2 linked regions of the Drosophila melanogaster genome follow. The protein of the gene in region 2 interacts with the protein of the main gene of each other region in a pairwise test. Each region holds a gene or a part of one and is shown on either strand. Other genes may lie near its edges.

The links.
Region 1: the proteins of CG14563 (region 2) and Vmat interact in a two-hybrid assay, tested with the Drosophila melanogaster proteins (one large-scale study listed by BioGRID).

The regions. Positions count from the first base shown.
Region 1 is NT_033778.4:13,528,143-13,532,076, reverse strand, and holds the start of Vmat (vesicular monoamine transporter), read left to right. Parts: upstream 1-2,201; 5' UTR 2,202-2,566; intron 2,567-3,690; 5' UTR 3,691-3,711; coding exon 3,712-3,934.
Region 2 is NT_037436.4:21,841,228-21,844,640, forward strand, and holds CG14563 (uncharacterized protein), read right to left. Parts: upstream 1,160-3,413; 5' UTR 1,129-1,159; coding exon 831-1,128; intron 751-830; coding exon 680-750; 3' UTR 581-679; downstream 1-580.

The sequences.
Region 1 (3,934 bases), on a different chromosome or scaffold from region 2:
ATAGTATTTACCTTACTTTATGTGCCCTCTCCGCAAATAGCCGCAATCTCATTTGACTGTGGCATATTTGGGTATTGAATAATAAATCCGCAAATATATTCAATCGTATTTGCTTTCAGCACTCGGTGGTTACTCCTAACATTATTTTGTTTAATGTACAGTTATAGTATATATCGTTGCATAAGGTTCTCAACATTTTAATGTATTATTATTTAAGATCTCTTATAATGCCCACTTTTGCTTGTCTTTTGTTGGCCAACGACCTTGCCGCCAGCCCAGCGAAGAACAAACACTCCCCTCAAAGGAAAACCTCTTGAGTGGCATCACAAAACACTGAATCCACAAGTGGCCACCGCCAGCAGAAGTCTCTGGGCCACCGGAGACATTGCAAATCCGCTTTAAGCGTCTTTATTTAAATGACTTCGTTTCTTTTTTTCCTTTGTCGATTCTCCCACAGGAATACTCCAACAACGCACAACCTCACCCGAAAAAAATCCGGCTACAACAACTACCTGACTTCATCAACTGGCAATTTGCAATAGACTCATTGGCATTTAGCAGACCACAGACACAAAAACCCAACCCATTCGCCCAACGAAACCATTTTTCCGCAGAATTTCCCCCAAAGAAAGCTAAACGAGTCGCTTATAAGAAATTACTCAGGTAAGTTAAAATGCAAAAGTGGGAAAGTGGTGTTTATATAGAAAAGATTTTGAAAAACGCATGAAGAACCTAAAGAACATTATATTTCTAAAATATTGTAACAGTTTCCTAAATTGTGAATGAAAGAGGGATGCATTCAATTTTTTAAGATGCAGAAGTTCCAACTCGCATATCAAGATATTGATTTTAATTTTATAAACAAAATATGTACATATTCCAGAGCTTAAAAAATCTTGCAATTTAAGCTCAAATTACAAAGAATTGTTTTTAAATGGTACTTTTGTAAAGTTTTCAATTGAAGCCTACTATTGGCACGTTTCGATCTTTTTTGCTTCAATAGATTTGTGCTAATTAGCTTAAAAGGGGCCTCATTTACACGCCCCAGCTATATATTTATGTATCTCGCTACCGTTTTCCAATTAAAATTGCAATTTATAGCTAGTTGGTGGAAAAAAAAAGTATAATCAGCTGCACCTTCGGGCGTCGGTGCAAATTTGTACAGCAATTAAATGTTGGATAAAAAGCCGACTTGAAGGGCTGCCAATTCCTGGTTGATTATACGGGAAAACCAGTTTATGGCCTTCCATAAACCGAGGTCTCTTCCATCTGCCTCAATGTCAAGCTCAAATCCACTGACTAAGCGCAGGCATGAGCTACGTTTTAATTAATACACAACTGAAAAATGGGCACAATTTAAATAAAGTTGCGTGCCGATGCTCAGAAGAGGCAGCAAGCCACTACATTTTAAACCAACGTCGCCATTTGAAAAATCTTGGGCAATTAGCACAAGCTGCAGCAGCAACAACAATTAAACAAAAAAGCAACGACAAACAGTAATCAAAATAAATATCTGAGGGAACATAAATAAAGAATTAAACAATCGCATTCGTCACATCGCATCGCACATGCAGCTCAATTTAATTCAATGCAGGAATTCTATGTTATATTCTCTATTCTAAAGATAATATATATGGAACTTCACACAAATTTCAAAAAAATTGTATTTCTAAAACTTGAATTATTGAAAATTTGAATGGTATACTGGTACTTCAGCTTTTGAAAGAGTATTAAAACTTTGAATTAAAAAAATTGCAATAAATTCTCCTGGTTTACATGCATTATTCTGGTATGGAATAAAAACATACACGCGATATGTACTCAAGAATTGTTTTAGCAATTGAATCAAGTTCGATTTGAATCAAATCGAAATGAAAAAGTTCAACTTTCAGGCTCTGAAAGTCAAACTTGAAAATCCAATGAATTAGCATAATTTGAAATCTAAAAAAAAAAAAACAGTATCTTTTGTTTGAATCGAATTTTCCCACGCCCATAAACCAAAATCGCATGCCAATTGTTAATTAATAATTATTAAAATGTATTTTACACACTTTTCATTGTGCATTCATTTGAAATGCAAAGACCCATGCATTTACTACGCTTCCAGCACTTTTTGTATAGAAAAAAAAACTAAGCGAATCTTTTTCGCTTGCTCAAAATTAATTCGTTTAATAAACCGCCGGCGGCACGCTAAAGTTTTTAGTTTGAGTTCAGAGCGCCGACTTGTCGGTAGAATTGGAATCCGCGGAATGAACGATCCACCCCGAAAAAGATTCCAAAGTGAACCAATTGTGAAAAAGAAAGTGCAATCCAGACAAACATCAGCACTTCCCAAATGCAAAACACACAGCCTTAACTTGTGATTTTGATTTTGATCAACAGAGTCATCGGCTAATTGGGATTTCAGTGCGCATTTCTGGCGGCTTTCAGTGATTAGCCAAAAGCCATATAAATATCGGTCGTTAAAGCAGATTCAGGTTCATTAGTGCACGTGATATTCTAGGGGCGAGAGTTCAGTTTGTGGAGCATTAATCTCCAGATCTATTAAATCAGGAAAAGCTGCCAGGTAAATGATTGAACTTCATATCTAACATCATATAATTTCTTCTAAAGAATGCACATTAAATTGAAAGTGCATTTTGGCAAAGGGATGAGAAAGAATAGAATACTATATATCCTAGAAAACAGAGCCGATATTTGTTTATTTATATGAATACAACTTATCCCTTGTTATAAAAAGTTATCCCATTTGTTAGCCATTAAAAAATCTTCCCATAAACAACAGTAGCGCAATTAAAACAGAGATTAATGGACAAATATACGGGCTAATTAAAACGATGCCAGATTTCCCTTGTACAATACTATAACTAACGCAACAGCTTTGTATTTAGGCAGCCAATTCTAGTTGATTTAATCAATTGAAATGACAAAATTTGCTGCCGTTTGTTTGTCACGCCCCCAAACGTGTTGCAGTTGTATGAACTTTCAGCAGCTTCCTCGTCTATTTGTCAGATAATTTTCATTTGTCATTCAATGTCAACACTTTATCAATACGAAGACGTCATAAACAATCAATTGTACGACGGGACAGGCATCAATTGTAAACTTGATCAATTGCAAAGTAAATTGAGAAGGCATTATGCAAAGACTATTGGCGGAAGACTTGATTCATCTACGCCTTCAATTACGAGACCTTTTCTTTTTTTTGCTAAAAGCAGTGGGTTAATTCAATTTTACAACCGAAAACTTAAAGAACTCTGCCTCTCTTTTTCGACTCCCTTTTGTGAGACTTTGCGAGCGAATTATGCTGGCAAATTGAATTTGCGCCTGGCGATAGGCAACAGAAAATGTCAAAATTACAAATGTTGCGCATACGCCCCGTGTGTTTGCTGGTAGTGCTCCGGGGTGGCAGGCAATTAAATAAATATTTAAATTGCGTATGATTCAATTAGAGTCGTGTTGCCGTGTGAAAGATACGCTTCTTAATTGCCAGCCCCAAGACTTGTAATTTACTTTTAATTAGCGAAAATCATTGGGGCATAAAGCGAGCGTGCGACTTTTGGATTTGATTTGGAAGGGGAATGGGCATGGAAATGCGATTGGGAATGGGAATTGGTATGGGAAAGCTGCTTACTCTTGATTTGATTACATTTTAAAAAGACAATCGGCTTACTGCCTTGCCATTCGTAGCAACCAGCGGCTAGCGACGCAATGCAATCATCGACCGATGCGGGCAATGGTGGACCAAGAAAACACACGCAGAGCACAGCCCCCCAGAAGCAGTCGGAGATTAGCGAGACCACCTCCTTCACCGTAAACGCAAACACCACCACCAACAGCCAGCAGCAACAGATTCCCGGCGGACCCGCCAGCAATACGCCCAGCAAAAATCCCTTCAAGCAGCAGTTGGACAGCAATCAACAGAATGGCAATA
Region 2 (3,413 bases):
TACTTTGTGTGAGTTTCAGGCGACGGCGGCGGAATTCGGCGAGAGCACGAAGTGTGGTGTGCCTTTGTTTTGTGTTTTGCGAGACTATTGGTCGGTCGGTCGAATTTGGACTTGGCTAACGGCCGGGAACTATCGGCAGACCGATACAATTTTGCCCCCCTTACTATCGTGCACCTTACAACACTGTCCATAGCTATCGATAAGGCGCCAAGAATGCACATGGATCAAACTTTGTCGATTTGTTATCACGAAGCAAAAAATATTTTTCGGTATATGGTTATATATGGGATCACAGCCTCAAGGCTTTTTTATAACTATTAAAACGACCAGATATGCGTACGTAGTTATTGACTCAAAGCTAAAAGCTGAGAAAAGGATCTAATGATCCCACAAAGAGTCATGGCAGCATAAACTTGGCGGAACATACATAGGGTCAAATGTGCTAAAAGACATACAAATTATCACATCAGTTCCGGGAGCTAATAAAATTATGGTGGTATACATGAAGGCACTAGTTAGGTGTACAATTTTTTACCAGGTACACTAGTTTTGGACACGTCATAAGAATAAGTCTTGACTTATAGAACATAAATATCATATTTATTAGCACTAACACACTTATGGGGTAGGATGACTTAACCGTATACCTATCACTAAACTATATCAGGTTTCGCGCTTCCTAGCCGTAGTATCCGCTTCCACCCGCACTGGCTGTTGCGAATCCTCCACTGCTGCTGGCGTAGGCCACGTCTAGAGGAAGAAACAGGTCCAAAACACTTGTAGATTACTTGTGTGCTAGGCACCGAGGTGCTATCAGTCGGGAAACTCACTCATGCCATTGCCGCCGTAGGGATATCCTCCATAGGGGTATCCGTACTGCCCGTATCCACCGTACATCGAGTACGGGTTGTAGCCGGGATACGAGTAGTACGGATATCCGCCGTAGCTGTAGGGGTATCCGTACATGCCGCTGCCGTATATGTTCCCGTATCCCGATCCCGCTCCCGCATTAGCGCCGCCGTAATAGGGATAACCGTAGTATTGGCTCGCGGATGGCTGCAGGAAAATGGCGACCAGGAGCAAACCGAACCAACAACATGGAGAGCGGCTCGACTGTTTCACTGACATGATTTTTCTGGCCATGTTTATCGTGTGTAATCCTCGAACGTTGACTGAATGCAAAAACCCCGGCATTAACTGATTTTATAGAGTTTGCCGCCGAATGTTTGCAATTTTAAAGCATAAAACGCTTTTTTAATGGAGCTTAATCGGGCGCCCATCAGCGGCTGCTCGGTTTGCTCGTTCGTGCGTAACCCAGCCGGCGTATACGCAATATTTTTAAATCCCAATATAAACGCTCTGCAAACGTATGTATTTAGTGCAAGTTAACAACAAGAGAACAAAACAAAACAAAACTATTTGGCTCTTTTTTGCCTATCGCCGCGATTACTCATCCCACATCTCGTCTGATTTGTGATTGCCGTTTTGCTATCAATTTAAATTAGTCAGTCAGCCGCTTTTTTTGCCAGGGGTTCACATTTATTCTGCGTAAACACAGTCATTAACCTTAAAATTGGTTGATGGTCCGCCTAGTCATGTGCGATGCCAGTGGTGCTTTCCACTTCTTTGAGGTTCATTGCCGACCTGGACCGTGGTCAATGCTCATTCACGCCCTTCGGATGAGGTCAACCGTAATAACTCCGATTCTGATAATTGGAATCGTATTGGTTTTCGGATTTTCCACTGCGATCAGCTTGGTCGTTGGCCGAGAGTTCAGTTTGAGGGACTTTTGGCTACAGAATTTTGGCCTTGGTGGTCATGCATCGACGCTGAAACTATTCCACAATGCGAATCTGTCGGTTTGGAAAGTGATACTTGAGAACTGCATAATGGAAAGTTCAATGTACTTATAGATTAATTTATTCTTCTTGGCTATGAAAGTAGGCTTACAACTTAGTAATTTAGTGATGTTAGATACGGTGGGTTTACACATCTCGCATAGTAAATAAGCTTTTAAAAATGTGAAAAACGCAAGTCGTGGGCAATTGCAAGGAATTGTTCTCAATACACTTTGTAGCTCTTGCATATGTGCCCGAAAAGTATACAACATGCCATTCATAAATATTTAAGGCCTTTCCCGTACCCAACTCATTCGTGTTCGTGTAGGTGTGTGTCATTACACTGGCCAACAATGCAAAATGTCACAATTGGAATTGTCCCGCCTTTGGGTTCCCATGCAGCTGACGTTTGCCTTCCGCCGCCCGCTCACTCACTCTCTCTCTCTCTCACTCTCTCTGCCGGGGTGGTTTCTGACTCTCTCTTCTTTGCCGCACTACTCCAGGTAGCTCAGGTAGGTTTGAGCCTCGTAGGTGTTGCATTCCCGCTGACCTCCAGTAGTTGAGTGAGTTGCTCCGGCCGGATGCCGACTACGCATGCTCAAGCCTGGATGTGCACGGATTTCGGGACACCCTATATTAAAGTAGCCTCAGTTGTTTGAGCCGAGTGACTTGCTCATAAATTCGGCTTGGTAATTTGTGTACTATTTAAAAGGGTTTCATAAAAAGATTGTAATTGAGATCTTGTGCAAATAAATTAAGCTTAAAACTATTATCAAATAATAATATATTTTACAATGACCCAAAATAATATTACATATAATGCATAGTGAACACGCCTTATATTCTTAAAAAAAATGTGTGTCTGTAAGTTTTATTTATAAGAAGGAAATTATGGTTATATTACGACTTTGAAATTCTATCTCTCGACATTAAAAATGCCTCCTTGAAAGTTAACATTCTAGAAAGGGTACGCTTCCCCAGTCCCCAATTTAAGGACTTAATTTTCCAAACCCCAAACGAGCAATTTTCATATTAAAAAGTTTGTCTATGCCGAGCCTAACTCCCGTCCCCACTTTCCGATGGAAAAATTGAAAGCTATCCCTTACAAAACTTCTACAAACTTTTCATTCATTTACCCTCATACTTTCGCATCATATTTGGGACAGTAAAATGCTAATTGTTTGTCCGAAACGAAAGAAACCTCCTTGTAGCCATCAATTTTTCAGCATTCTTACGTGTAATTAATTAAAAATTTGATGCAGCAGCAACTTTTGTTTGCTGTCGAAATTACAGCAGCAACAAAAAGCTAATTAAAACTTAAAATCATATAGGAGTGCAACTGGAGCCGTGCCGTGACCCACAGAGATCGCCCACTCGAGAGTCTCACTCACTGGCAGGAGAAACTCACTCAAAGCGCCGAATTGCAACTGAAGTGTTACGCATACGCCGCGTGGGACCGAGCGAGATGCCATCCTGCTGTGAGTGAAAGCCGGTCGAAAAAATAAAGAAAAAATCAATTAAAATGCACTCGAGTGCACCGCGCTTCTGCACTCATTTTTTGGGTTTAGCAAATTT